4 linked regions of the Saccharomyces cerevisiae S288C genome follow. Changing the gene in region 4 together with the main gene of any one other region gives a genetic interaction. Each region holds a gene or a part of one and is shown on either strand. Other genes may lie near its edges. The genes, in order: PBS2, CMK2, PSD2 and CET1.

What was found.
Region 1: mutations in CET1 (region 4) and PBS2 together harm fitness more than expected from each alone (negative genetic interaction), as found in Saccharomyces cerevisiae (3 studies listed by BioGRID).
Region 2: mutations in CET1 (region 4) and CMK2 together harm fitness more than expected from each alone (negative genetic interaction), as found in Saccharomyces cerevisiae (2 studies listed by BioGRID).
Region 3: mutations in CET1 (region 4) and PSD2 together harm fitness more than expected from each alone (negative genetic interaction), as found in Saccharomyces cerevisiae (2 studies listed by BioGRID).

The regions. Positions count from the first base shown.
Region 1 is NC_001142.9:175,992-184,455, forward strand, and holds PBS2 (mitogen-activated protein kinase kinase PBS2), read right to left. Parts: upstream 4,113-8,464; coding exon 2,106-4,112; downstream 1-2,105. Other genes in the region: TRK1 (Trk1p), read right to left, coding at 1-1,315; MCO6 (Mco6p), read right to left, coding at 5,560-5,718; SPT10 (Spt10p), read right to left, coding at 6,307-8,229. UniProt on the Saccharomyces cerevisiae protein: Kinase involved in a signal transduction pathway that is activated by changes in the osmolarity of the extracellular environment. Activates the MAP kinase HOG1 by concomitant phosphorylation at 'Thr-174' and 'Tyr-176'.
Region 2 is NC_001147.6:292,157-299,676, reverse strand, and holds CMK2 (calmodulin-dependent protein kinase CMK2), read left to right. Parts: upstream 1-3,556; coding exon 3,557-4,900; downstream 4,901-7,520. Other genes in the region: IRC10 (Irc10p), read right to left, coding at 839-2,599; ESC8 (Esc8p), read right to left, coding at 5,004-7,148.
Region 3 is NC_001139.9:832,900-841,058, reverse strand, and holds PSD2 (phosphatidylserine decarboxylase 2), read right to left. Parts: upstream 3,918-8,159; coding exon 501-3,917; downstream 1-500. Other genes in the region: methionine--tRNA ligase MSM1, read left to right, coding at 1-235; LSO2 (Lso2p), read left to right, coding at 4,394-4,672; pseudouridine synthase PUS6, read left to right, coding at 5,156-6,370; PEX35 (Pex35p), read left to right, coding at 6,577-7,707; clathrin light chain CLC1, read right to left, coding at 7,902-8,159. UniProt on the Saccharomyces cerevisiae protein: Catalyzes the formation of phosphatidylethanolamine (PtdEtn) from phosphatidylserine (PtdSer). Plays a central role in phospholipid metabolism and in the interorganelle trafficking of phosphatidylserine.
Region 4 is NC_001148.4:115,141-122,861, reverse strand, and holds CET1 (polynucleotide 5'-phosphatase), read right to left. Parts: upstream 4,481-7,721; coding exon 2,831-4,480; downstream 1-2,830. Other genes in the region: NEW1 (New1p), read right to left, coding at 1-1,095; ALG5 (dolichyl-phosphate beta-glucosyltransferase), read left to right, coding at 1,695-2,699; YPL229W (uncharacterized protein), read right to left, coding at 5,175-5,795; USV1 (Usv1p), read right to left, coding at 6,375-7,550. UniProt on the Saccharomyces cerevisiae protein: First step of mRNA capping. Converts the 5'-triphosphate end of a nascent mRNA chain into a diphosphate end.

The sequences.
Region 1 (8,464 bases), on a different chromosome or scaffold from region 4:
TAGTTATATCGAATTGAATTGATGGCCCATGCTTTTTGTCTGTTTCTGCGTTATCAGTAATGGCTATCGGGCCCGAATTTGATCTATGAGTATTTGTTCTTAATGAAGGTACTTTGTTACCAAAATTTGTGTGTAACGAGCTTTCGTCCGAAACGCTCGCCGTACTGTTTGCTTCACTTGACACGGAATTTTGATCAGTGTTACTTTCATTTCCCTTATCTCGAATCTTGATTTTGTTACCATTTATGCCGGTGGCCTTCTTTAGCTTATTGACATTACTTTTATATCTTGTGCCATCCGCAGGGGACCCGATGACTAAAGGGGGACCTTCATCTTCAGCAGTTGCTTCATGCTTACCTTGTAGCATCATAATGGATCGATACATATCGGCTGGGCTAATATCTCTTGAACCCCTTCTTTTTGCAAATTTCTCTGAGGGAACTCTTGCGGGTCTTTGTTTGCTGTGTGGCTCATCAAACCGAAGACTGCTTGGCTTGGGCTTCTGATTTAAACTTTCGTCTGCAACTGTGTTAGACGAACTACCTACCGTCGAGTAGGAGTTGTTCTCCTGATATTCTCCATTGTCATCCGTTTCGTCTTCCTTAACGAAATCATCTAAACTGCCACTGCTACCATTGTGATTCGTATTATTATTGCTGCTGTCCCTACTAATGTCATGAGAATTCTGGTCGCTGTGAACTGAGTCCTGCTCATCTCTATTAACCATTTCTCCGCTGAACAATTTTTCTTGGAAATCATCTGTTTTAGCTTGTTTCCTAGGATAAGACGTTCTTTGGGTACCTGTTCTATTCTTGGTCATGGTTCTTGCTGTTAGTTCCCTTTCTAAGATTGTTTTCGTTCTTCTCATCTTAAAATTTCGTCTAGAAGAGTCTCTAATACCATCGAAGTAGCGCTCAAACCAGTAAAGCCGTACAAATGCCAAGCAACTATGAACTGCAATTGGTGTTGATATGCAGCATACGATATACAGAACAATTTGTTGGTATAAGCTTAGATTGTTGATATCCACAGTATTTAAGCCACCTTGTGTAACTGCGCCCGCTGCTAAAAACAATGTATCAATGTATCTGGTATTCTTAATGGGATATAGCAGGATTGAAGTTATTAATGTCAGGGATATCGTGTAGAAGTAGTGAACCGCGATAAAACTGGGGAAGATATATTTTTTAACTGGAGCAAAATAGTGACCACATAGAGCAATAAAATCACGAAATTTATGGCCGAAAGATTTTTTATATCGTATTTCAAGAGATGCCAATGTGGGCACTCTACTCATCGTTCTTCTAAAATGCATTGTTAGTTATCAAAAAAAGGTAATAACTTTAAGTAAAATGGATAGGAATGACTTCCTTGAGAGCCAATAGAATACCCTCCTTCTTTTTAAGGCAATACAAGTGTGGAATCAGTGATGCTAATGGTAAGGTAAAAACAATGGGCGAAAGGAAAGCAACAGTAACAAAAAGTTTCTAATAATGTAAGAGCTCTTTATCTTGATAGGTAATTATTTACTGTTTTCCGTGAAAGTAGCAAAATTTAGAAGTTAGGGTAAGATACAGGTATAGTTCCTGGTCCAGACTCCACATCTACTCTCAATAACGTGGATTTGAACTTTCAAAACACCTTTTATTTTCTCGATGATTTTGGACTTTTTTTTCTTTCCTAGCCTTGAGCCGTAAAGAGCGGAAAAACCATCAGACAATTCCAGAGCATTTTTTCTTTCTTGCGTTGTCAGCCCCGAACGTAAATAATTTCGAGGAGTCGATGGCCGTAGCAATAATCGAATAACACAATATATTGACGTCCACATCGCTTCACTTGCCGGTGCTTGAAATAACATCCCCTCAATACTCTGTCATAATTCGTGCCCTTTTTTAGGTTCGACAAAAGGAAGTCAGACGATATATATATATGAATATATATATATATATATGTCTATAACGAGTATAATGCAAGTTTATTACAATAAACATATGTATATGTAAGGTTTTTTTGTATTCGCCGCATCATTTCCACAGTAGCTTTTCGTCTGCTTTTTTTTTGTTGTTATATTCACGTGCCTGTTTGCTTTTATTTGGATATTAACGCTATAAACCACCCATATGTAATGCCGGTACATTTTTAGATAAACCATTCTCACCACGTTCCCGTAAGATTTTGTTGCGCCTTTCTAATCGTTCAGTGATATACTCACTCATGTGGACATCCTGGTTTCTGTATTTTACTAACCAAGGATGCTCTGTTAAAGCTGCGTATGTAGGTCTTCTTTCCGGAATCTTTTGTAGACATAAAGAAACAAAATCTTGTGCGTCAGAACTGAATTTATCTGAAGGTAATCTCGGTGGCGGCCCATCAACAATAGCGCTCAATTGAGAGAAAATGTTGTCGTATGTTTCTGGTGGATACGGATATCTACCTAGTGCCATTTCCAGAATGCTTAAACCTAAAGACCAGATGTCTGACTGTACGGTATAGGTGGCTCTATCTGGATTCAACGATTTGATTCGTTCAGGTGCCATGTATGACTGACAACCAATATTAGTCTTCGCTAAAGATGCCACCAAATTACCAGAAACACCGAAATCGCACAGCTTTACGGTGCCTTGGTTGGCTGAACATAAAATATTTGTTGGTTTGACATCTCTGTGTATGATATTATGCTGCTCTTTGAGTTCTTTTAGTCCATGAATGACAGCATTGGCAATAAACGCTAGCTGAGGTTCATCAATGCCGCCGATTTCAGATGATTCGTCGTATATTTTATCCAAGGAACCACCATCCATGTATTCCATACACATGTAGACGGCGCCCTCAATAAAGAATGCACCATAAAAATCCACAATATAGGGAGAATTGCATTTATGCAAAACTTCTAGTTCCATTAAAATTTGTCTAAATTTAGCCTCATCTAGCTCCAAACGGACTTCCTTCGTCGCCATAATAACATTTGTGGGCTTATGCAGTACCTTTGAGACGTTACCATAGTTACCATGACCCAGTTCATCCAAAAATTCTAGTTCGTCCAATGTAATTCTCGAACTAGAACCATTGCTGAAATCTATTCCTTTAGAGGATAGCGATAGTTTGCCTGCAAAATTCAAAGAGCCGGATTTGATATCCACGTATTTCGAGAAATTTGCGAAAAGACCACCACCACCACTACTACCAGAATTTGAAGAGTTGTTGCTGTTTCCAGTTCTGGGTGTAGTGCCTACAGTGTCATGTGGGCCTTCGGTACTTGATGAGGTGGATGTGCTTTGCACACCATTTATCAAAGAACCCGGATTCGATCTTTTCCCTTCAACAACTTTGCTGTTTGATAAGGTTTCTATATGTTTTTTGTTTGAAGGGCTTGGGGCAAACTGCTGCGGCTGTTGAGCTGTTTTAGTGGGCATTTTTAATGACATTCCTCCTGGTGGTAATTTGAGCCCTCGACGGGCACTTAAACTTTGTTTTGGTGTGTTGATTATAGCAGGGGCCTTATGCGGGGCAACATTTGGTCTTGTAGGGTGCTGGGTAGAAAGCGGCCTTCTTGGTGCCCTTCTGTTAGGATTCAGCAATTGCGCCTTATGTGTTGCTGATGCAGTATTAGAAACTGACGGCGTAATGTCAGTAGCAGGTAGGCCAGTATTTACACCAATTGTTGTGGCGGTAATTTTGGTTGTATCGATGTTAATATTTACGTCGGTAATGTTTTGTGTTTCTTGATTGTCCAGAACGTTCTTAAGAGTGCTCTTGGAGGACGCTTGCACGACTTGGCTACTCATTCTTTGTGAAACCTTAGAACTTCCTGCTACGGGAAGAGGCGGCAATGGCTTATTAACAATCTGCTGAATATGTTTAGGTGATTGTGAACTGCCTTTGTCTTGCTCGCTTTGATTACTGCCCACGCTGGCAGACCTTTTCAATGCACGTTGTTCTTGAAAAGCTTTTACACGAGCATGAAGGTCAGCGTTGATGTTATTGTAGTGCGAGGACGTCGAAGATGTTCTCTTGACAGCAGAGCCATTATCTGAGCCTGTTTGCTCGTTTAATTGGATAGATGACTTACCAGTTTTCTCATGGAGACTGAGGTTAGCAAACTTGTCTTCCATCTTTGAGAAATTAACGTCTCGATCTGCTTAATATAATAATGTATCTATAGAAATGTACGGAAAAACGGGTACTTTATCAGTTTTAGTTGTATGACGTTGATGTCTGGAGAAGGACAAGGAAAAAGTAGTTCTGTGAAACGTGTACCCACAATAGCAGCTACCCTTGTCTTCTTTTTTAGTAATTCTTTTCTTCCGGCAAGCAGGTAAGCAGTTATCTCTGTGTCCAGATCCCTTTGAAGTAAAGTTTATTCAATTTTCTATAGAACGTGTATGGCTCACGAAATCGCTCACTAGTAGACAACACACGTTAGAAAGATCCTTTCAGGTGCAACGGGACGCAGAGGGAAAAAACTGGAAAAATTGCCACTAATGAAAAGGCAAATAGAGGATGAAAAAGAAAAGGTAAATGCAGATGAAAGGACGAAGACAGATGCGATAAGAACAGCGTTTGAGATCGGATGCAAAGGATATAGTTTTGCTCTGGCACTGTGTTAGTGTGCTTGTGGGTGCTTTTTCTTCTATTTGCAAGAAAATGTGACCTTTGCGGATAACCTATATAAGACGGGGTTTCCTTGCTTTGAAAAGTTTAAAACAGATATTCTTGCAGATACAGGAGTACATACTTGTGCGATCATCACCAAGATAACAAGAGATTAATCAAATATAGAAACAGATATATAAAATAGATACAGAGTGCTACGCAATAAGATTTTTTTTTCCTGTTGCAATACTATACTACGTCTTGACATGAACTCTCAACAGTGATATTTCTGGGGAGTTGTATCGATGTGTAGTAACTGGTAGTAGTCTAGTAATGAGTTGTTCTCATGTTAGTGAATATTCTGTATGCTTCCGTGCCTGCTGCTATGCTCAAGGGGAACAGAAAAGCAACACGCTCAAAATAGTAATCTACATGAGAAACAAGACTTAGTCATTGCCTTTTGCCAGAATTGGCTTCGGCCGTAGCTGTTGAAGTTAATCCCGCAGTAAAAGACAAACGGCTCCGTATTCAGCAGTTCTATATATCACCTCATTAAGACACAGACGATCTTGACAGTTGCAGCAGAAACACGCCACCATATGTTCTTGTAGCTACACCACGATTGAGTGTCTGCACTCTTATTCAAGTGTTTCAACTAAAAATAAGTCTAAGCTGAAAGATTATTACTTTCATTTGATTTTTTTATTTTTGAAGCCCCATTTCCTTAAATCGTTCTCGTGGACGAGATTAAAAATAGAAATGATGTAGAGGAGATGCACTAAACATTGCCTCCCTGCACCGCACAATTACTGTAGCCATTGTGCTTATTTATATCTACCTATATATCTAAGCAGCTATATCATGGGCTTGACATACGCGACTTCTGCTTGCTTTTGTGCTCTCGTTCAAAGAGCAATTACTTCATTCCATCTCAAGAAGGACTGTTGCAGGTCATTATTTCATTTCTTACTGCACGTATTTCGATTGAGCTGCTAATGAAATCACAACACAACTACCCAAATAGCCTAAGAATTGGAAAAAGGCCCTTCTTGATAATTGGATCTGTTGAGTTGGCGTATGCAAAGCTGTAAATATTGAACGGATCTGGTTGAAAAAGAAAATCATGCTTTCTTTATTGTCGCGTAAACTGTACACTGCTGCAATTATCTAGCTGGCTGCTAGTAGCAATGTGCTCTTCGTTACGCTACCGTAGCTTTTCTCCGTGAGTGACTGATTTTGCTGCTGTACATTTAACTCCTTTTCTATTTAAATTGTGCGCTGCCATTTTCCGCATCGGAAAACCTAAGACAAATTTTGATGAGTATACTTGGTACGTGCCCACGCAGCCAATAGTGTCTCGTTCACGGCATCAGATACAGCAGTACTTAAAAGGGCACTGAGGATCAGGTTTCCTAATCTGGAAAATTTTGCAGCACAAAGCTTAGTTATTTATCTCCGATTATGGATTTCTGCAGTACCTAGGTTTCAACGTAAAACTGTAACAGAACCTTTCGTCATGCAAGCATAATTGAGTTGAGTGCCTTGTTTCCAATTTCAGTTTCCAATTTTACTTCAAAAATCACTTCTGAAATAAGATTTAAGACTTGTCAACCCTGTTCCAAAAGTGGACGCATCATTAAATGTACCTTTTTTCTGTACAAACTTTATAGTTTCTAGGGTTGGTGATGTGACCGTCTCTGGCAGAGTCGCAATTTAATAATAAATATTAGAATTGTGCTCTGTAAATGTATTAGATTCGTTGTTAACAATCTTAGTGACTGAATTCTCATTACCTTCACTGTTGTTCAAATCGATTTGTTGGCCAGTCACATCTTCACCTCGATGATTTATCTTCTGTTGTTGTTCCTTTTGGACCATTTCTAGAGCGGCCATGACGTTATCTTCGAGGCTCAACATAGCATCGTTCATTATAGTATGGTCATTTCTATCTAAATCGGGAACTGAATGGTTCATATCTCGTTCATCACGGTTGACGGGGTTCGCGTGATCCTGCGATTCGTTATTCGTTAAATGGGGTACAATTCCGTTGGAGGCAACATCCAAGTATTTTCGTCTTTTTCTTGAGTTTTCTTCCTCCACGAATCTATTGAAGGAATTCATTGACTGTTCGTCGTCCAATAGTGGCGTGCTCTGTATTGAGGAAAGAAACTCGGATCTTTTATTCGCTTCGTTGGCTTCAGCTGTTGTTGCGGGACTATTCGTGGCGTTCTGGAATGTGGGTTGTACGATATTAGTGTCTGGCGGAGTGGGTTCACCCTCCACATCATTCAGCGTACTGGAAATAATATTTTGAGGGAAATTTATTGCCTGTCCCAATAACGCATTATCATGCTTCTTGCTTTTTCTTGGATTGTTGATAGTTTCTATATGCTGCGTCGGTAGCATATGCGCCTGCTTAACTGCTCTCTTTTGTTCAATTATTACCCCTGTCCCGTCTTTGTACCTCATCTTGCATTTTTGGCACCGAGAGATTACCTCCGAAACAGTACTCTTGATTCCTCTCCAATGGTATTTTTCACCAATTTTGGAGGTCACCTTGTTGATGCCTAAATGTTCCATTAAATGTATCTCTAATGCAATCTGGATTTGTTGATCCGTGTCATAAATGATTTCTTTTCCTTTTGTCATCAACTTGCCATTCAATACCGAATGAGTTTTGGAAAGTACTCTTAATCTAGCCTTTTCGTTTCTATCACAATGTAAAGGATACTTGCCTGTTTCCAGAAAATGCTTTAATCGTTCATATTTCCCAATTTCGATACTCTTTTGAGGATCTCGTAACAAATCTATACTTTTCGTAATATGTGTGAACTCTTTACCATACATGAAAGAATCTACTGGGACATCAAAGCCCTTGAGAATCCCGGCTTCAGGCAGCTTTCCAATCCGCCTAAAGTTCAATCCTTCCAAAATTCTTCTGATTCCTACGTTCGTTCCGTAAATTAACGGGAAAAAGGAGGACGTAAATCCTAATTTCTTTGACCATTCTATGAATGTTTCCATTAGTGTTTTCCCAATACCTTTTCCACGAATACCAGCATTGACCAGAAATGTTCCTGTGACCACATGCGCTGACCGTCCAGGGTATGCTGGTTTGAGGTCAAATATGCCTAGACATTGCTTCTCCCACTGCATACTTAGATTTAAATTGCGACGTTCTTTTCGTTTCTTATATTGGGTGGTGTGCTTCGTGGTTTCTATTTCTGTTCCAAAATTATCATTTGTGTCCGCTTCAGTATCCATACTATAATCCAGTTCTGGTATTTCGCCTAACACCATAATACAAACGTGACCATCATTATGAAACCAGACATTTTTGAATTCTTCTAGTGATAAAGTCTCGTAATAAGGAAAACTATCTCCCTTTTCCACTTCCATGTTAAATTCATCTAGAAGGAAATTTAAGAGCCCTAGCGGCAATAAATCAGGATACGCAGGTATAGGATACATCGTAGCTATTGTTTCTCCATCTTTCAATAAAATGGTATACGGTTGTAAAGGAGTCAAAAGTTGATCTGGGACCGCTGCCTCATTTCTCACTTCTGAACTGCTATTTTGGTGTGCCATCTGCAGATGTTCGTCATCCGGTACTGAACTTGTGTGCTGATTTAGCATTGAAGCTAATTATTACGATTTTTGTTGATAATCACTTTGGCGGAAGTCTAGAGTTGTTCTTGATCGGTACACTTTTTACTCATCCCCCGAGCAGTGAACTAACGCCAATGTAATGAATTTTGCTCTTTTATATTTTTCATTTTTTTATTATTTTAGCTCACGATCCGCATCTCGAATTTTCAGAGCTTACTAGATTCTAGGCCATTAGAAGTAAATGAATAGAGGTGAAATAAAA
Region 2 (7,520 bases), on a different chromosome or scaffold from region 4:
AGAAAATGTGGTTGTGGGGGAAGTTGTTGAATCAGACATTCTCACGTTACTTTACTTTTTTTGTTAAACTGAAATCTTTAAATAATCAAAGAGTTCAACGTTCGAGTAACTCTTTTTTGTTCTACTTTTAAGTAGCTTCACTTTTCTGAACAATTGAAATAGTTGAACAATTGACCACGCTACAACGGAATTTTGATAAAATAGCAAATGATGTTTTAATATATATAACTATTTATTATTTATGGTGGCTAAAAAATTTTCAGGTTTTCAGGCGACCTCTTCAGTATCCATTATATGCCGCGACAAACCCTTTTTCCAAAAACGGTCATCGATGTTTATTCCGAGTAGGCTCAGTTGCCTGCGCCCGGACCCTTCTTAAGGGGAAGTTCTCGAAACTTTATGTAATTTTAAGTTTAACATAAACTGTATAAGCCGCTGTAACACTGTACCAAGATAGGCGTTTTAATTACGGCCTAGATTGTTTAATATTTTGCTTAGAAATAATAGGGCACAAAAAAACATTCGAGGCTTAAAGTAGTGTCACATAAAAATGTGTCTTCTGGTACTTATTAGAAAAGGCTTCCCAAAAAAAGCACAAAAGAATTTAGTATTGAATGTTCATGCCCCTTGTCGGAATAAAAACGGAAAAAAGGGAGAGTAAACTAGTCTGTTGTAGCAGTAGGCAGTGATGATTATTCCTGGAAAAAATCAAAGATTCTGTCTTACACAACTTATTCAGTACAGTTTCGCTAAGTAAGGAAAGAAACTTTACAAGGGTAAAGTAGGTAAAGTTCTAAACTATATGTCAAGGGTGTCCCAAAATAAAAACTAACAGTACTTAATGAATAGAGTTCCTGGGATTGTGCTGATCCCAGTTTTCTTTGGCAGCTCTGAGCGCTTCTGCAACTCTATGTAGGCAATTTTTAAATCGGTTGACTTTTTCTCTAGATTTGTTCGGTAAAATGAGGTGTTCTTGTGATAAATTTTCTCTTTTGTTGTCACTTACGTCAACGCTCAGCCTAGGACATGATGTCTTAACCTTAATAGTTCTTCTCGACAATATATTTTTGAAATGTTCGTAATTTCTGAAGAAACTATTTTGTTTTTCAACACATACAGAACTTCTCCTCATGACAACACTTCTTACACTTTGATCTCTACTAAAGGTAGAATTTGGTGAAGCTAGATGGACTGGATAATATGGTGATGATTCCGATATTATTTTCAAATTAGGGGTCAAAATTCTGGACCACGTTGAAGGTTCCCCATACGGATCAGGAGCTGGGTTTGAGCAGACCCAATTTGCTGTTCTTCTCGAGATTGTCTTTGCAATAGCAGGAGTTATACGTTGCATTTCGGCTATCGCTTGATTAGTAGTGTCTTTTAAGGCACTTTCGTCGCTGGAAATTACTGTTGCATGTGTCAATTCGATTGAGAAGGGGTTACTATCTCTTGTGGCCTTTTGTTCCGGAAACGTAAGCAGTTTATTGCCTGAATCAGTAGAGACAGTTCTACCGATTTTTTCAAACTTCCTCTGTGTGGTGCTTTGTTCATTGCGAAAATTTGATCGGTATAAGCGATGTGTACGGTTTAAAGTAAGTTCTTGAAGGGTAGGATTGTTGCTTTCATTAATTTTTTCTAAAGAAAAATTACTTCTCAACAAATATTCAGTTTTTGCTGACGTTGTAAGTGGGAATTCGACGGAGAATGTTTTATCATCGCAAACGTTCTCACTTGTGCATGAACTTTTTGTTGTTTTTGATGTAGTGGCGTTCTTTCCCTTTTTATTCAATATCTTTTTCGATATATAGTGTAAATTTTTGGTGTCACTGTCTAGAGAAAGGAAAGTCTTTCTTGGTGTCTTTTCCCAATTTACAGATACTCTATAATTTACTGTCGTAACCGCAAAAGAATCCACTGAATCTAATTTTGACCATCTTATTGTTCGTTTGAAGGAAAAGCATAAAAATTTGCCGGTAAATTTTCCAATTTTCATACCGTCACCATGAAAAACTGCTCTTTTATCGTCAATAAAAACATTTGGAACATTAACGTTAGTTCTCAAATACAGAATTGCCTCGCCGGTTTTTTCATCCTTTACGCTCTTATATATGAGATCGTGGAAATGCTTGACAAACAAATTATTTAAATTTGCATGAGGTTCTGCAAATAGCAACATGTTGTTTTTAATCCTTCCAAGAACTTTTTTCATTAGTGCAAAATAGGGAGTGAAGACAGCATGGAAAGCGCTTTTTAACGTTTCATTCGTAAAGTTCAAACTGTTCACGGAACATTTTCCAGGCCAGTGGAATCGTACCCAATAAACAGTTGGACATAGAACTAGGACTGGCATACACTCTTCCATTTGGAGAATGGATATTAGTATAATGTAAATATAATTGATTTCATCTGGATGTCTCTCAAAGTCAGCAACGCTGATTCGTTGGATGTATTTGTTTGAACCTGCCAACAGCCTGAAGTACTCTAATTTTTGTTTGTATGTAGCGAAATTAGTAAATTTAGCCAATCTTAGCATGCCTCTAGAAAATGATATATTGATGCTTTCGAAGCCTGGTAATCTAGAGTATTCAATGAACATGATTGAAAAAGCACTAGGCCAGGTGATTATACCGCAGACTTACGGTAATATAAGGGCAAGAGAACTAAAAAAATCAATAATGTAGGCTTATATTACAGTTCTTTGTGAGATATTCCTTTCTAGAGCGTTTTCTGTGTCCACTCAATTAATATATACACTTCCCGTATCCTAACATTTACTGACACAATGATAGGCACAACGCGCGAAGGAGCGGTGGGGCTTTGAACAATAAGGACCCTTACATAGAAAAGGCGTTAGAACAACAATATGGTTAGGCCATAGAAACCTCGGTGTCTTTTAGGAACTTCACAGAATAGAACATACTGCAGTAGATATAAATACACCACTGGGGCAATGCAGCCTGGTTTTTTCCAAATATACAAAACACTTCATGATACTTACTAATGGTCGTTGATACAGTACTCATTGTATCATTGCAGGAGAGTTAGGTTGGCTTTTTTGCATTTATTTATTTATTCATTTACTCAATTGACAGGCAATGTCAATGATTTTTTGGAAGAAATTTGCCTAATGTTTTTACTCAGTTACTCACCGCTCCCTGGATAACATAAGGTTCATTTGCTTCCGTACTGATTTTTTTTGGCAGTCTATAAGCCACTATGTACTTCCCAATGCTCCTGCAGGCATATTCTTTTTCAATTTTCATGTTTTTACTTCCAGTCGTTGAGCATCATATGGATTCTATGTTGATGAGGCTTTTCAGAACGTGCTGTACTTTCGGAGAAGCGCCCGCTTTAACGCAGCGCGAAGAGAATAATTGAGGCTTATCTTAGAACCCTGCCCCCTTTGAAGCCACCCATTGCTGTTTCTCTTGGTAATCCTAATAATATAAAACAATACGATATTGTTCAAGATCAGCAGAACTTCAATTCGTTGATCAATCTTTTCGTCACCTTTTCTTCTATCACATCGCCAATATAAATATAGACACCAAAAATGCCCAAGGAGTCAGAGGTCATAAATTCTGAATTTCATGTAGATGTCCAAGATCCAGAGCGTCTAAACGGCCACCCTGTAGCAAAATTTATCAATAAATTAAGCGGTCAACCTGAATCTTACGTCAACAGGACTAATTATATTTTCGGTCGAACACTGGGTGCCGGTTCCTTCGGTGTTGTGAGACAAGCCAGAAAGTTGTCCACAAATGAAGATGTTGCTATAAAGATCTTATTGAAGAAGGCATTGCAGGGAAACAATGTGCAATTACAGATGCTGTACGAAGAGCTGTCCATTCTTCAAAAATTGAGTCATCCGAACATTGTGTCATTCAAGGATTGGTTTGAATCGAAGGATAAGTTCTATATTGTCACTCAGCTGGCAACAGGAGGTGAATTATTTGATAGAATTCTGTCTAGAGGGAAGTTCACAGAAGTGGATGCTGTTGAAATCATAGTTCAGATTCTTGGTGCCGTGGAGTATATGCATTCCAAGAATGTTGTTCATAGGGATTTGAAACCTGAGAACGTTTTGTATGTTGATAAGTCAGAAAATTCGCCTCTGGTAATTGCGGACTTCGGTATAGCTAAACAATTGAAGGGGGAGGAGGATTTGATATACAAAGCAGCCGGATCGTTGGGTTATGTGGCACCAGAAGTCCTCACACAAGATGGACATGGTAAGCCTTGTGATATATGGTCCATTGGTGTGATCACATATACTTTACTGTGCGGTTATTCTCCTTTTATTGCCGAAAGCGTTGAAGGATTCATGGAGGAATGTACAGCTTCGAGATACCCGGTAACCTTCCATATGCCATATTGGGATAACATATCTATTGATGTTAAGCGTTTCATCTTGAAGGCATTGAGATTGAATCCAGCTGACAGACCAACTGCTACGGAATTGCTGGACGATCCATGGATTACTTCAAAGAGAGTTGAAACTAGTAATATTTTACCAGACGTTAAGAAAGGGTTTTCTTTGCGTAAGAAATTACGTGACGCTATTGAAATTGTGAAGCTTAATAATAGAATTAAGAGGTTAAGAAATATGTATTCATTAGGGGACGATGGCGATAACGATATAGAAGAGAATTCCCTCAATGAAAGTCTTCTGGACGGCGTCACACATTCGTTGGATGATTTACGTCTGCAATCTCAGAAGAAAGGGGGAGAACTAACAGAAGAGCAAATGAAATTGAAGTCTGCATTAACAAAGGATGCCTTTGTTCAAATTGTCAAAGCTGCAACAAAGAATAAACATAAAGTTTTGGCTGGTGAAGAGGAAGACGATAGCAAGAAAACACTGCATGATGATCGGGAGTCGAAGTCAGAAGACTAAATTACGGACTTGAATTCGTGTACATAAATTCGTATATAATATTTAATGTGTAAAGCTAGTGACGATTTTATGTAACCAGCAGCTACACTTCATGGCATTCAAACTATAGACCTTTTCTGGCATTACGCCTCAAGCTTCTTTTTTCCCGAGAATTATCTTGTAGTTGCCTAACGGGTTCTGAGAAGATCTCTATATCATCACAATTCCTATCACAATCTTTAGCGCCATTGTGTAATTCTCTTTTCCCAAAAGATTTATCTGTCCTATCTTCACCTTTTCTTGTCAATGTATTCTCCTCACTCAGATATTCTGAATCATAGTCATCGCTAACGTCAATGTCAACTTCATTTTCACTTTCCTCGGAAACGTCACCATTTACATCACTCGAGTAATGCACCGTGGTTCTTCTCTGAGAGCTTGTTCGCAAATGACGTCCTTCAGTACTGCCTGTAGGGGCAGCAGTTATGCGCTGAATAGTCTCATTTATGAATATACTGAAAATTTTCAAAAACTCAATTAGATTGTCTATACCCTTTTTTGTATCATCGGTGTCATTTTCAGTAAGTGATGATAAACTTTCCAAATACTCAATGAAGTTGCTCAAAGAATTCGAGTCTCCTGCAACTTCAAACCAATGCGGCACCTCGGCAAAGTGAACATCATTGAACTGTAAATTACGGATACATGCAGGAGTGTTCCTATATATAAGTTTAAGTTGACACTTGTTTTCATTTTGTGCGGTTTTTGCAGGCAGTATTTTTGTACCCTCCTCTTTGAATTTTACGAAGTAATTAAGATAAGTTGACATGTCATTGAAACTGTAACTAGTGTTTACTGAACTGCATTCGTTGCCAATCCAGAATGGTGGTAAGTAGAAATCTCCAACTCGTGGAATTCTCGCTATCATAAACTCTGATGTCCTTAACTTGTAAATTTCGTCTACGGTGGGATCATCAATTGGTGTGTGTGTAAATTCGTTTGCAAAATATTCACCCCATTCTTCATTTATTTTAACTGCAGCTCGTAATCTGTCTGTAGTTACTTTTTCGCTCAATGATTTCCGAACACCCTTTAGAAATTTCATCTGACTATTGATCTTACTCAGTTTTCCTTTGTCGCTGGGCTTCCTTTTCTTTCGATTTTCCAACTTTTGACTCATCAAAGAGCATAAAACTTCACAACTATCTAATATGTTATTGGCCCCGCACATAGCAAACCTGCTGGCGTGAAAAGTTTGATGGTTGAACCCTGTATCGCCTTTCAAGTGAGTGAGCCTTTGAATTTCATTATGGAAAAGTGCGGAGTAGCTACAATTCCAATCGATCATGCATCTCAATAATATTATTCTATCTAATGGTTCCATCGTCAACAAACCACCTCCATTAAAATTTAGAGTAGATAAAATATCACTATTACCACGCCATTCTTTTGGTAAGCCCCACTCCTGGATTAAGCTTCTGAGTTTGCCAACCAGTTTTCCATATGGATTTTTCAAACTAAGAAATCTTTTTAGCGTGAAATTTCTATGAGTTTGGTTGTCTGCTCTTTTCTCGGAGCAGAATAATAACCTCAAAAGACTGCAAAATAGTAGATTCATTTTATCCTGACAAATTCGAATATTCTTCGCAGAATGGCCAGCCACCTTTAATTCTAGTCCTATCTCCACATCTTGAAATGACAGGTTCAGTAGATCGTCGCTGAACACCCATTTAAATTTGACGATAAAAGAAAGGATCTTCATAACATCGCCTGCATATGGGAGAGGGGTGCAAAGGGGAGGCGCCCAATTGCTTTCCGTTACCGTCTCATCACTCATAAACTTTGCAAAGTCAGAATATCGTAAAGGAATATTTGGTGACCAGTTTAATGTATTCAATGGTCTATTATTAGAAGTAGTGTGTTCACTGATCGACTCTACCTTGTTAGTGTCGTTCGAATGTGTTTTGATATTAGAATATTTGCTTGCCATATTTGCCTCCATTTCTTTAGTTTTCATTTCTTCATCACAGGTACCTTCATATTTCTCCCGCTTTTTAGTATTTTGGGTAGCAGCATCCAGTGATTCGTCAATTGAACTATTGTGAGAAAGTACAACAGGTTCTTCTACAATTTTGATGTTTCTGAAATCATCAAAGGTCAACTGACCCCTTCTTTTTACCCTAGGCTTTGAAGACTGGTTTTTCTGTTGTTTGACCATAGGTTTCTTGATAAAGTCATCGACCAAGTCTAAATCAATAATTTCTGTCATTATTGTACCTCAAATTTCTTGTTCCTTATTTTCTTGTTTGATGTCTAAAAAAAAGAGATATCCTGGTAATGAGCAGGCCGTTTCTTCAGCTCATACAATCGAAAGCTTAAGAGTTAGTCGTTGATATGGTATTCTCTAATACCGAAAATAACTTAGTACATATAAACGCGTAAAGTTCACGCGTTTATATCACCCTACCATATGACATTCTAACCCTACTAATTTTTTATCAAAGCTAATAGGGTTGTATTTTATTATCTTTTACACCTACCTTTTTTTTTTGTATATGCCCTATAGATGAATTATAATTGTTGGACCGGTTTGTATTGGGCTTTTAAGGTGTAAAGTGAGTGCGTATAGATTATAGCAGAA
Region 3 (8,159 bases), on a different chromosome or scaffold from region 4:
TTTGGCTATGGAAACGTCTAGAATCCTCTCCATTTTATGCCAATCCATTATACCATCTCTCTCACAAAGTTTCCTAGATCGTATTGATGTTTCAAAGGAGAAAAGGACTATAAATTATGCTAGATTGGGTTCCGATAAAACATATGGAAAGCAATCTAACAAGAAAGGCCGAGAAGTACCTTTGAAAAAAATTCCATTCAGGTTGCAAGAGGAACAAACGAATATGAGGTCATGAAAAAGGTACTTACTGCACTGTAAATATTAACTTAAGTATTATATCGTATTTTCTGCAAGAGGACTAGGAATATAGTTTCTTTTGTTACTAATAAAAATGCATATTTTTCATAGGAAATTTCCTGGTATGAAACCATTGCTTTCATTATCAACGATGACTTGTTTGTACACGCTATAGTCTATAATAAAGTCTGAGGGAGATTGTTCATGTTTTTTTTTTTTTTCCATTTTGGTAACCACTAACTACAGCCAATTTTTCGGCGGCTTCATAGCCCAGCAAAATCTTTATTCATCATTTCCCGTAAAGTATGATATTCCCATGTTACATTTCCTGTACTCTTGGCATTTTCATCGCTAACACTAATTGTTCTCTTGATCCGTTCAATTTTCTTTGGGTCGTCTACTTTAATACGGATTCTCTTCAATTCATTCACATTTGATGTGTGTCCTATACTCATCCCGACTTTGACTAACGTTTCAATGCGTTCTGAAGAGTTTTTCACAAGGTCGGAATCAAACATGAAGTTGTTGTGCGGGATAATGATTATTATAGTAGAACCTCCAAATTTAAAATAGCCCAGCTCCTGTCCACTCTCAACTACATCGTTTTCTTTGCAGGTCAATAGTATGGATCCAACCATCATTGCACCAATAGGTATGTACAGTAGTTTGCCAAATTGAGGAGAATCGATGGGGATAATAACTCTGATATTTTCACCAAAGACGTCTAACTCACTACGAACGGCCATTGGATTTACAGTATAATACTCTCCATCCACATATACAGGTTTTCCAATCGTACCATTACATGGTGAGTGAAACCGGTGATAATCTTGTGGCGCCAGTCTAAATATACCAATACTGCAGTTATTGTCATTAAATGTTTCCGGATTATAGTTATTGGCTAGTTTCTTAATAGAAAATTTTCTTCCTTTCACCCATATTTCCTTCGATTCTTGTATAGTTGGGAACACTGTGCATCTTGAATCTGCTGGTGAAAACAATATTTCTTTATTATTACTTTCAGGCAGCCGGCTTCCTGGTTTTAGTTTCCTGTAAAAAAATTCATTGAATGTTTTAAAATCTTTATCTCGGCATTGTGAAAGGTCTAGCGAGTGAAACTTTATGAAAGGTTCAATTTGTTTGGCAGATGCAGTGCTGTCAAATTTTTTGCCTTGCCTGATTGATAAAGTCTTCAAGAGGGATCTAAATTTTTTAGACTCGGGACTTTTACCATTGTATATAATCCTCATTCCCAACTTTACGTGTGCGCTTATTTTTTCCTCAATAATTATCCCTGTGTCTCGGTCTTGAACCAAGATGTTTGCATTGTTAGATCCCAAAGCATATTTACCATAAGTTAATTTTATCAAAACCTTAGAGAACCATCTCTTGGATGCAAATGCAGATGAGACGTACGACGGCTTTAAAGTTTTGTGTTCTTTTGAAAACGTACATATGGCAAAATGGGTTATCAAGTCATTTTCTAGAACCAGTTTAGAACGTCTAGCATTTCTAGTTGGTTTGCATGAACGCATGCATCTAGGACATGTCCAGATGCGTTTAAAATTAGTGGATTTTCTCCATGACTGTAGCCCTTCAACTAATTGTGATCTAGTAATGCTCTGGCCGGCCCAAGCAGATTTATTGAAATGCTGAAAGAGTTCAAAAGAATCGGCCATCGTGAATGAACCAAGACGTTCAAGATAGAGCATTACTTGAATAATGTCGAGTCTCTCTAAGTTGACTGATGTGTCAACAGCTTCTTTCCAAAAGCTCTTTTTTAAGAACGGATATGAAACATATTTGAAGCTCGAATATAATACCGGTTGCTTAGGAGCATGTGCTGGCTCAACAGTGAGATCCAATGGTATCTCATAAGGTATCCATTCGTTTTCATGTTGTTGCTGTTGCAGCATATCAAACCAAGCCAGTTCGCATTTTGCAACGTCATCATTGAATGAAAATGAGTCTTTATCAACAACTTTGATACTGAAAGCAAAATTCGTTTCATGGGGAAAAACTTCGAAAGCGGCATATTCATTAAATTCTGGGTTTAAAGTATGTTTTCTCCAAGATGTCTTGAATACTCTTCTACCAAACGAAATAACGATAAATGGATCCATTTCATAATTAGTCTTGGACAACCGATTCCTTAATGCAGGTAAATTTTTGATAGCCCCAATATGCATAAATACTACCCCCATCGCATGTTCCTTTTTCGATATAAAAAAGTTACTTTTTGCTCTTCTGTATAAGTAATTTGCATATGATTTATTATGTTTACCCCTTTGCAGGTGTAAAAGCCGACTCCCAATGTATTCTTTTGATTGAAAATCAGAATCTTCACGCTCATCCTCATTATATATATCAAACTCCTCATCACTTTCCTGTTGGTTTTCAGATTCTTCGTCATCCACTGATGTTATGTCATTTTCCGACACTGCAGGTAATTTTGCAACATCTTCTGGTTCTACGATATCATATTCATCTAAAGCTGTTATCATTGAAGATAGACTGATACGGGTATCTTCGTCGATGTCATGCACATTTATGTCTGGCACATTTGGATGATCTGCTTCTTCAAAATCATTTAGAATATCTAGTTCTTCATCATTTAGCGAAACAACCTCAGATATAGAGTCGAATATAGTATCATTGTCTATATCGTACCTCCTCTCCGTACAAATGCTGCCGCTGCTATTCATATCTTCAATAGATTCCTCAGCATCTATTTCATCCTCGGCATTGACCTCTTCATCGTGGGCTAGATCAGTATCGCTATATGGTTTCTCGCGTCGTATTTCATTTCCACTAACAGCTGAACTATTGCTCAACATATCTTCTAGTGGAGGTGGCAAAGAACTAGAAGATCTCATGCGGGCCTTATTTCTATCTATTCTGCCCAAGTAAGTGTTCAACTCATTTCTCCAAGCATTGAAAGCCTGAAAAGTCGGGGTTCTTTTAACGTTACATTCTAGCTTAAATCCAAGCAAAATATCGCCCACTAGAAAGTTGCAGTTCAAGGAATCTTGGTCTTTCCCTCCTTTCATATCGTATAGATGGTACCGCTGAGCTTCAATTGAAAATTTATAGCTCGTCGTGGTGTCCTTCCTCTTGAATAAATCCAGTAATGAAATTTTTGCTTCACCCAAATATAGATAGCTATTAATCCTATTTTTGTGTGTGGACCCGGGACCTGTTGTTGAGAGAGAAGAGGAAGAATGTGAAGGGGCCGGTGTAGCTGAAGATGATACTGAATTAATTGATGTTGAAGTTTGATTACCTTTGGACGTAACATTCAAATTTCTCGACGAATGAGAGTGAGAACTTAGCCCTGAATTTGACAGTGTCGATGAAGATGTATTTGCAGTGGTTGTCCTTGGTCTACTGGGGGTAGTAGGGGGAGCTCCGGTTGGTAGGGCGTCGTATACTATAATCCTTAACCATTCAGATGTTGGATTTCTCGGAAGTTTGATCCTCAAGGTTTGATTCCAGTGTGTATTTGAGTTCTTGAGCTTGTTCGTCTTTTGACTATAAAATGTATTAGTGGTAACAAAACATACCGGGTTACAATTGAATGTCTTCAAGGCTTCAATATTTTCAGCTTGAATGACATGAATTTTTAAAATTAGCGTTGGCTTCTTGTTCTTGCCTCGCTTTCTGCCCTTAATAATCCTCATCTTCGTCGTTGGATGCTCCTGAAAATCGAGGATTCTTTACCAATTGATACAGCATCAACCACTTTGGGCTAGTTTTAGCATCAAATTGGAATAGTTGTCATATATAAGAAGAATTCCTTGAAGTAGCACATGCGTTAGGGCTAGGATCTCAAGTTTCCAAGAGTTTGACATGTGCCCTGCTTTTTTGTCTTTCTCCTTCTTCCAAACCTCATTTTAAAGTAACATAACCTTTGTATTTTTCATATTAGCCCTTAGTTTTTTTTTACCCTAAAAAAATTTTTTTTTTTTTCTTTGAGTCGTGAAAGCTTTTTTTTTCCAGTTAAAGACCCCTCAAAATGAAAAACTTGTATAATGTTTAAAATAAAGCTGAATAAGTTGAAACTCAAGTTTATATTTAATAGGTAAAAGAATTTATCAATTGAGCACAAAACCTGCCTATACAGGAAATAATAGAATAGCAAAGAGGAAGTAAAAAGATGGGTAAAAGATTTTCAGAATCCGCCGCAAAGAAAGCAGCTGGCTTAGCAAGAAAAAGAGATCAGGCACATGCTAAACAAAGAGCACAAATGGAGCAGCTAGAAGCGGAGGAAGCTTCTAAATGGGAACAAGGTTCGAGGAAAGAGAATGCCAAAAAATTAGAGGAAGAGCAAAAAAGACAAGAAAAAGCAAGAGCTAAAAAGGAGCGCGATGCGTTGCTAACCGCAGAGGAGGAGCAACTGGGCAAGGGTGGCAAGGGTAAAAGAAAAATGAAATAAATTTGAAGAATCTTAGCCTTATAGCGGCTAATAATTGCATATGATAAAGTCATTCCCACTTTATCTCCATAAACATAAAAACGCAAGACAAATAACGACAATAAAAGTAACAGTGGTAATAATAATACTTCTGTATGAGGATGCTTATCTTTTGCGGGTTGAGTACAAAAATACACATGGTAAGAAATCACTGTTCAACGTTATAAGAATAAAGAGGGACGAGGAAGGATAATGCAAGTGTAGTTTACAGTAAAAAGAATGACTTTATGGTACTAATGGTATGAATAGTTGAAATTATGTACATTAGATTTGCATATGTATGTATATATAGCTTGCTGTCATACAAGAAGATTGATAACAATGATAAAAGTTAATGAAAAATTTACTTTTTTTCTTTCATTAAAAGGCAAATAAATGTTTCTTGTGAAAACTTTATTGACGATTGCTCGAGACAATCAGTGGGCAAAAGGATGATTGTCAAGTATGTCAACTATCAAAGTTATTGAGGTATATACACAGAATGGACTGAGAAAGGTACGGCCCTATTATAACAGAAGATCAGCGTTCGTGAAGGGGCGCTGGTTGGGTAAGTTACTAATAGACGTTCTCGTTAGTGAATTTAAACTTCGCCCAAGAGCTTATTATTTGGACCAAATAAGGAAAGGCACATATAGGTTGATCCGAGATGGTGTGCCGCTGGTACCAGATCATCTCATGACTACCATAATCAAGAATCATGATGTTTTAGAAACAACTACGCATAAGCACGAACCGCCGGTAAAACAATGGTGTAGCCAGGAAGTTGAAGCGGAGGATTTACCTGGCAGAATAGCGGGATTCAATATTGTTTTTGAAGATGAGAGTATCCTCGTCATTGATAAACCCAGTGGTATACCAGTGCATCCAACCGGTCAGTTTTACCAGAACACAATTACTGAATTACTGAAGTTACATGGTGTAGATGCTCTTCCTTGTTATCGGTTAGACAAGATCACATCAGGCTTGTTGATATTGGCCAAGAACAGTCAGAGTGCGGGGGAAATCCAGAAGAGTATTCGTTCAAGAGATATGATTAAGATCTACTTGGCAAGGGTCAAGGGAAGATTTCCTCACTCCGAATTGATATTGGACAATGAAAATGCGGCGGAAACGACTTTTGAGGACACTTCCAAAGTTACAGTGGAAATGACACCCATATATTCTATCGATCCAAAGAGACAGTTTCCAGTTGGTTTATCGACATCGAAGGATGCTATTACCAAGTTCTACCCAATAAGATACTTCTCTCATGCTGATGAAACTGTCGTCGCTTGTAAGCCAATAACTGGAAGAACACACCAAATTCGAATCCATTTAGCTAGGCTCGGTCATCCCATCGTCAACGATAGTGTTTATTGTTCGCATATTACAAAATACCCCGAAAGGCTTAAGTTTATAACTCAGTTTCCTAGATGGGAGAATCAGCAGGATTTAGATGCTGAGGAATTGAAAGTGAGGTTTCAAAAATTTGTCGATGAGACAAAAAATAATTGTCGGACAATGGAAACATTTTGTCCTGAATGTCATACTGTTGATTTAAAGGATCCTGTGCTATCAGACCTAGAATTATGGTTGCATGCTTGGAAGTATGAGGAGATTAATGGCAAATTCAAGTTCAAAACAGATTTACCAAAATGGGCACAATTGGACAATAGTTAAACTTTTTTTTGAGCGAACTTTTTTTGTATATAGTTTAGTTACCATTTCCGTACTTTGGATGTAAATTAAAATTAAAGAGAGACATTATTTTTAGTTGCGAATACATAACAGCGAATGTTCATGGGGAAAAGTTAAAAACCCTATATAAAGCACCACGAAATACACATCGCGAACAGAGCTAATGAGAGTATACACTTGCTAACTATATGAAACACAATCGTCCAAATGGTACTGGGAAAGCAGTTTCTGGCTTCAAGCAGATAATAAGAAGGCTTCTACTCCTCTTGAACAAGAAGAGAAGAAAACAACTCGTCATCATCTTGAAAAGAATAACCCAAGTCTATGGAATAAACCTAGTATTTTATGTCAAAAAATGGAAATTGAAAAAATTACAGGGTGAAAATATTCAAATAAATGATATCATGCCATGGCTAAGAGAGTCTACTATATTAGTCTTGCTGAACATACTATATCCAACTTTGATGAAGTTCCCATTTTTAAAAAATCATTATATTCACTGGTCTTCCATTGTAGGAATATCGTTAATGCTTACCAAGGGTGAGGTACCTTCGTGGATTATCGCACACTTTCTTGTGGAAGCTATAGCCTCCAAATTAAAGATCGCAAAATTAACACAATGGTTGAAAAAAAAAAATTTTTCCCAGGGTACATTAATAAAATTCCAGCAAATTCTTGTGTGTTTAGCGATTATTGTATTATTTGCCAAACTGGACAGGAGTTCGTTACCATTCCGTGTGCTTTTTGACCATAGGCCATTTTTAATAGATTTCTTCACAATCAATGCCATTTTCACAGTTTTGGCAGTATATCACAGAACATTAAAATTCTTTTTTACTTCAGGGACGAAATCAAATAAGAATGTCGGCGGCCACGAAGTCAGGAACTTTTCTCAATACCTTGGGGTCAAGAACCATAATGATTGGCCCATATCTTCATCAAATTTGAAGCATGTAATGGACAGACTAAATGAAATACATGAAGTTACAATTGATGATAATTATGCAAATATAAACGAAAAGATAATAAATTCATATTTCACCAAGGGTTTTTTTCCAAGTCTAAAATGGACTATATTAAGGCAGTGTATCGAATATTTATTCGTCACGAAAAGGCGCAGATTAATGGGCAACAAATTGCGGTGCATCGTGATGCTTCTTACATTCACCTTCGTGGATCCAACAAGTAAAATGAAAATCAGCCCATTTTTCGCAAAATTCTTTGCGAAGTCCTTGGTTAATGTTTACTTGAAAAAGTATTGGCATTGCAACTTTGGGAAATATATACTATTCTTTTTGTTTCAGCTTAGTATTATGTGATGTGTTTTTTTAGAAGAGAAGAGTTTACAAGTTTGTAAATAATCTATATTATAGTTGTCTTGATAAATGAATTTACAGTATGAATTAGTTATTTACTGAACCTATCAAGTATGATACTCATGTATGACGGGAATGATAGGGAATAAGCCCCTTCTCTTCCTTAGTTCATTATGGTTCTTATTATTCATCATCATTTAAGCACCGGGAGCCTTCGCGTTACCTTTCAATCTCAAAAGAATTTCTTTAAGCTTAGACCTGTCTCTACCCCCAATGATATCGGCATCATCTTGGTTAATTAATTGAAGTGCACGATCCCAGGTCGTATTGTCTTGACCAAAAAATTCATCTCTTTTCTTTAAGAAAGCCTCAGCTTCCTTAGCAGCATCTTCCAATTGTTGTTCCTTCTTTTTATTGTAAGAATCGTAAAAATCGTCAATATGTTTGATAGCTTC
Region 4 (7,721 bases):
AGATTCAGGAACCTTAGATGGATCTTGCAGGGTGTCCACGATCAATTTATAACGAGGAGACAAATCTAAGTTATCCAAAATAGAAACGTAGTCCAATAAAGTTTTGTAACCTTGTTTGGCCAATTCAGGTTTGAAATCAGTTGCTACATCGGTTAAAACTGGAACTGCATCTTTGAAAGTAAGTTCCAATAAATCGTTCGCCGAATCTTCTCTTATTCTATCTACAACGCTTAGAGCGGCCATTTTAGCTTGCCATTTGGCACCAGATGATAAGTAATCCAAAATCGTAGGCAGTACAAAACAGGTTAAAGCCTCCATTGGAAAGCAATTCAACAAAGAATCAATGGCATGTTGCGCGGCACGTTTGACTGTATTCTCTTTATCTGAAATACAGTCAAGTGCGACATTGAAGAATGGTAGCAAGTATGCTTCCTGTGGTGGCTTTCCACTGAAAAATTGAGCAATGTTGGAAATTATTAGCATGGCAGATTCTCTAACTAATGATGGATTCTTAGGTTTGATGAATTTAGATAGAACATCGACGATTTTCCACTCTTCAATTTTCTCACCCGTACTGTTACCTTCTTTGCCAAATTCTTCAATGATTAGTTTGATTTGATTTTTGCAATCAGTGATACTTTGACATTCAGGTATCTTTGACAAAAATTGAGAGATGGGTGTTAACTCTAAGTTCGACAGCTTTTCATTCAAAGAGGTCAAAGATGTAGTAGAAGCAGATGGAGTTGGAGTTCCACTTTGGTTGGGCGTCACAGCCGATTGTTTGTAAGTAGATTTTTGATAGCCCTGGCCATTGTATTTATTATAGTTATTGTAGTTGTTATAATTGTTGTAGTTGTTGTAGTTGTTGTAATTGTTGTAATTACTGTTATACGATTGGTAACCACCTTGTTGGTAGTTGCCCCCCTGTTTCCAATTACGCTGTTGTTGGTAGCTACTTTTTTTGGAAGCGTTATTACTACCGGCATCAGCAGCAGGGTTTTTAAAATAACCACCGAAGGGAGAAGCGACTAGATTTGGGTCCTTTGGTTGGTCGTCAAGGAAAGAGTTTAGATCCTTAAACTTCTTTGGAGGCATCCTGAGTTGAATTAGCACTGATTGTCGTTGTATTTACAGTTTACAAGATATAAATTATGCACTATAGATCGACGCATATGTATTATCTTAAATAGGTTGCAATATATTATTATTTTTTAACATTTATTGCGATGCTGCTGAAAATTTTTTTTCCACCTTGAAACTTTTCTTTTTCCATTGAAAAATTAGATGTGGTGTTTGGGTTTATTCCATTTGATCTTGTAACTTCTATACTAGTCACAACTAACAAGTCCAAAGTCAAGTGTACATAGTTATCCTATTTTCACCGTTATCACTTCAGTACCTTTTAATTTATATATATTAATGCACATGGCTCTGTTGTATCTTTCGAAGCAGTGTATGCCATTTTTTTCATGAGAAAGCGAAATTTGGCGTATTCGAAAAAAAGTGTAAACAAGAAGAAAACGTGCCAATTTTCAAGGCTTTATCGCAATTAAAGTGGCACAAAGGACCATAGTCACTGTGGAAAGGTAGTGGTATCTAATTGGATGCTGTAAGGATAGATTAGGTGCTTTTGATAACGTAAGAAAGGGACAAAAACAGAGAGGCAGCCAAAAATTACACAAAGCACAACAAAAATGAGAGCGTTGAGATTCCTGATTGAGAACAGAAACACTGTCTTTTTTACGCTCTTAGTAGCCTTGGTGCTTTCACTGTATTTATTGGTCTATTTATTTTCGCATACACCAAGGCCGCCATATCCAGAGGAGCTCAAATACATAGCTATTGATGAAAAAGGTCATGAAGTTAGTCGTGCCTTACCTAACTTGAATGAACACCAAGATGACGAAGAAATATTTTTATCTGTTGTTATCCCAAGCTATAATGAGACAGGTAGAATTTTACTAATGTTGACAGACGCAATCAGCTTTTTAAAGGAAAAATATGGTTCCAGATGGGAGATTGTCATAGTGGATGATGGTTCCACAGATAATACCACACAATACTGTTTGAAAATTTGTAAAGAACAGTTCAAATTGAACTACGAACAATTCAGAATCATCAAGTTTTCTCAAAACAGAGGCAAAGGTGGCGCAGTGAGACAAGGTTTTTTACATATTAGAGGTAAGTATGGTCTTTTTGCCGATGCTGATGGTGCTAGTAAGTTCAGTGATGTAGAAAAACTAATAGATGCTATTAGCAAAATTGAAACGTCTAGTACAGATCTAAAAACGACTAAACCAGCAGTAGCAATTGGTTCCAGAGCACATATGGTAAATACCGAAGCCGTCATAAAGAGATCAATGATAAGAAACTGCTTGATGTACGGTTTCCATACCTTAGTTTTCATCTTCGGCATCAGGTCTATCAAAGACACACAATGTGGATTCAAATTGTTCAACAGAGCCGCTATATTGAAAATTTTTCCGTATTTGCATACAGAGGGTTGGATCTTTGACGTTGAAATTTTGATCTTAGCCATCAGAAAAAGAATCCAAATTGAGGAGATACCAATTTCCTGGCATGAGGTTGATGGCTCTAAGATGGCTTTAGCTATTGATAGTATCAAAATGGCGAAAGACTTGGTTATTATAAGAATGGCCTATTTATTAGGGATATATAGAGATAATAAGAAATGTTAGAGTAATTATTTTTATGTTATTATTATCATTATTATTATTATTACATAAGCTTTCATAACAGCATTTGAGTAAACAAAAAAAATTTCTCGCTCAAGGGCATTTGCTTATTTTTTTTTGAAATGATTCAAATATTACATGACTTTCTTTGAACCTTCAAAAATTTCATATGATAAAGACGATAACTTTCTTCTAATAATTGTACCATTATTCAGAAACGTTCTAATAAGAGATGCATATTCTTTACTATCGTTCGTTATGTTATCAAAGGCGTTTAACAGTGCAGGCGTGTTGATTTCTAGTTCCACTTCGTGAGTGGTCTCTGATTGTCTACTTTTTGAATTTTGGTTATGATTTTCGACTTTTGTAATATCAATTCTGGTACAGGAATCATTATGAATGTAACTAACACGGTCTTTCGTCCTTTCACTAATTGGGCTTTGAGATTTATATTTTTCTGGCGGATCGTTGTCAGGTACAGGTAATTCCAAGTTTAGGGAGATTTTAACGTCGTAACTATCTTTTGGTGAATATAATAGTAGTTGGGCTACATGTCTTTTCTCTATAAATTGTCCTACCCTCCCAGTCTTAATATCTGTACTCATTCTCAAAAACCTTGGTCTTTGCGTGGATAGTCCGACTCTATAGACGGAATCTCTTGTCTGGGATTCAATAATACTGAATTTACCTGTATTTTCAGTGACTTCGCTAATACCACGAATATATTTGCTCAACTCTTTGAACAAAGATGCATCAATATTAGGCGTTAGATGGGCATCAAGCTCAGTGAAAACACATTGTGAAGAAACTGGTGGATTTACACGATCTGGGCCTTTCGCATCAATAATAACACCAAATTTCATTTCTAACTCAATGAAGGATCTTAGTTCAGGAGCAATTGAGTATATTGTAGCATAAACCCAGTCCTGTACTGACTTTGTTAAGTCATCATCGGGAATAATGTTTAAAAAAGATGGGTCAATTTTGAGATCTTTCACATTTATACTTTGAAGAGCTTTGATAGTAGGTTTCCATTTTTGTGCCCAAATTGGAACATTCCTGTACTTACTGGGCTTGGAAGACGCAGATATTTCATTCAGAACCTCCAAATCTCTCTTGATATTATTCTTTTTTGATTGTAAAGTAGCTTTCTCTTCAAAAATATTATCTACAGCTGCATTCGCTTCTTCTTCCTTCTTGACCACGCTTCCTACTGCATTTCCCGCTATCTTCTTCTCAGTTTGCTTCTGCTTTTGCAGAGGTACTTGGGTTATATAGTTGCTGGCAATGTTCCCTTCATTACCTTGTTTCGGTATTCTCTGTTCTTCATCACTCTTGCTATTCTGATGAATTGAATCATCAGAAGGCTTTTCTAACTTCGCATTGGCATCACTACCATCATTCATAGGAGGTGATCCGTTGGATAGTAAATTTCTATGTTGTTTATCATAGTCAAAGTCCATTTCTGAATCAAAATTAATTTCTCCACTTGCACCCATTTCGTCATCCGTATCGGTTTCTTCATCATCATTAGATGACTTGCGTGATTTAGGTTTTTGTGAGTGCGAGCCATGACCAGTACTCTCCTTGTAATTGTCAATCGGAGCAGCTTGGCCCGTTTCCGTTTGATTTATATCAGATTCTAAATTTTCGGCAAAAGGTCTGCTGCCATTAGCCGCCTCACTTAATTTTTGTAATTTAACCTTTTCATTTTCATCGTGATTCACCAGATCGTCTAACGATAAAGCTCTTTTTGTTTGAGGAGGGTTGTCAGTGTAACTCATAGTGGGAGGATAGAAATGCTACCAACAATTCAAGGTTTTTTAAAAAAAGAAGTGCTATTCCAGATTCAATTTATAAGGGATATTTTGGAAATATCAGTATAGTATTCCCAGCAGATCTTTCAGTGTCGAATACGCTTTTAATTATCACTCTTATTTGTGTGAACCTATATTATAGATTCATTAGAGGACTTTTCCTTTATTACCATAACTTACGACGAAACTAACTAAAATGTAGGTCTATATATCATTTGTAACGGCACGTTGGGTAATCATGACTGGTACATGTTATATGTTATCTACGCAGGTCCTGTTTCTGGCATTATGTATGGCTTGACTTTAGGAGTTCCAGTAAAACAAGGTTCAAGATTTATTATATCACCATACTTGTAGCCTCCAGGATTATTATGAAACAGAAAAATGGCATGTATTTTTGAAAGAATATGGTTATATGAGTATTTAGTGCTTAGTACATACGTCTTGCGTCTGTTTGCAGATAAAACCCTTCTCCTTTTATCTACATATACTAATTGAATAGTGAACTACATGAATAGAAGAAACCGATAATTAAAAATAAGTAGGAAATGAAACGGCTTGACATAATATAACATAACGTAACATAACATGGACACAAGATTTGTTCAAATGAGGAATATGCAAAAAAGAAATCAAAACAACGTGTTTGTCCATATCGCGATCATTCTTGAACACTTTCCAAAGGATTAAAACTTTGAGATGTATAAGGATTGAACTTCGGCCTAGAGTTGAATATAGAAGAAGCAGAATTTGGAGGTGAAGAAGACATAGAACCAGGATTAGAACTGGATTGCGTGTTCTGATGATACAATGACATTTGTTCAGCGGTCAGCCTATCCATTTTCTCGCATGCTTGTTGTTCTTCGAGAGAAAGTAAAGATCTTGGACAGAAAAATAAGTCATCTTTGAAAGATTTGCAGATGTTGTTCTTGTATATTATGGAGGAGTGGTCTATATCTGGGACAACATAATGCTGAGACGATCTGCTAAAGAGTAAAGGAGGGATAGTACTAGTGTTGGCATTCTTGTTAAGGTTTGAGTTTTCGCTGGTACCGGCCCCTACTAAAAACAAAGGCGGGCTTATTGGTTGTTGCTGTTGCGGCTGCTGTAACGATGACGCAGTGCGATTTTGTTGCTGCTGTTGCTGCTGCTGTTGCTGCTGCTGAAGACGATCATATTTGAAATTCTGGAAACTGAGCGCATCTGGAATAATACCAAAGGGGTTGCTGCTTGCGAAGTTCATAGGTTCTTGGATATTTGGAGGGGTGTTGTAGGGCATCATTTCATGTAATATAAAAAAGTGGTTATATGTGATAGTTTATCTGCTAAAATCGGAAAAAGCGTCATCTTGTCAGTGAAATGAGATAAAAAGCTTCTTTCTTTTCTTTTTCTTATTATTGCAATTAACGGGGGTCCGGGTGAGCGTAAGGGCGAGATAACCATGGCGGTATAGGTGTATATGATCAAGTTTTGAAGTCAAGATGCAGGATTGTTCGTTCCGTATTCACAATCCACCGTTAGTGTTACATCGTAGTTTTTGATGCTACTGTGGGCTGTGTAAAGCAGACGCGGGAGTTTAAAATTAAGTTTTGCGGTTATTTCTCGTTGATCAACGCAAGAGGTCAGAAAGCCCTTTATGCAAGGGATTTTTTCTTGCAATTGCATCTTATCATTTTTGTAGCACTGATTATACATAGCTTGACTCATTTGAAAAATTTTATAAACTGCATTTAGTATGGAACAAAACATAAAAATAAAAAAAGATGCGCACCATAATTTGTTTGCGCATATTAAGAATTATATTAGTTGTAAGATATTTATACTCTACGGAATATTTGAAACTTAGATCAGATTGCCTCGATCAAGTCAATATGTAATCAACACTAAGCCTTTTCTTATTGGTGTTGACCGAAATATCAGACTCTGATAAAGTTTCCGACCTCTTTTTGTTATTATTATCATTGCGATCATCAGTATTCTTGAAATTTTCTCCCCCTTTGCCGCCATTCTTCGAGGAAGACATATTATTGTTTTTATTTCCATTTGGTGGTTGGCTAAATGCCTGCTGATACTGTGGTAAAATAATTGGTTTTGCTTCAGCAACTGTCGTTGACGGAGAAAACGGCGGGGAGAATGAATCAAGATGGTTATTGATATTACTAGTATTGACATTGATATTGCTTGGTCTAATATTGTATTTGTTCATAGTTGTCCGTGCTTGAAAGTCGGCAGAATCTTTATATTTGAAGGAAGTACTTGGCATGGACCTCGGAGGAAAGGACGATATGATTACCTCAGAGGCCGGATGGCTCGTTGAGGAGGGGCTCACATTCAAAGGATACTGCACATCTACTGATGGTAAATAATTGATGGTGTTATTATTACTGGGAAGAGGATACTGGTAGTAACTATCAGTGATTGGATGGGAAGGAAAATAATAGGGAGCCTGTTGATGCTGTTGTTGTTGGTGTTGTTGCTGTCGTTGGGTATTATAAATGGACCTTGGAGAGATGGGTGGGATGCTTCTCGTGCTAGTAATGAACTCCGGCGAAGAATGTATTATTTGGGGCGCTTTTTCGTTTTCTGCCATCATCGGCATGTTCCCGCTATTAATATTAGTTTTCCTGTAAGGATCACTATATGATGTAGATGATGAAGCAGAAGACGAAGAAGATGCAGAAGAAGAGGAGGATAAAGATGAAGAGGAAGGCTTACGCTGGTGCGAGCTGGTAGAATGGTGGTTTTTATGTGCATGGACCGATTCCCGATGCTGTTTCAAATTATCAACTCTACTGAAGAATTTCAAACATGCAGGACACTGGAACGGCTTTTCACCAGTGTGCTTTCTTATATGACGTGCAAGATGTTCCGCTCTAGTGAAGGACATCGTACAACCGTCATATCCGGTGCATTTGAACGTTTTCCTTCGAGCACTTTTGGACCTCTTCGGAGTTGATGCCGCTACACTATTGGTGGCAAAGTTACCATTGCTGCTCGTAAGAACGCCTGCAGTATTACGATTCGTGGTATTTTCCATTTCGTGTTTTTTTCTTATCTTATCACAGTATTATTTATGTGTTAGTAAAAAAAGCTAAGCCAGTAAGTCGCTCCAGATTTTTTCTTTACATACATGGTTAATGAAGCTGTTGCAAAATACTGCAGCCAAGAACTCCTGTCTCTTTCAAAACAAGACGAAACTTTATCTGCC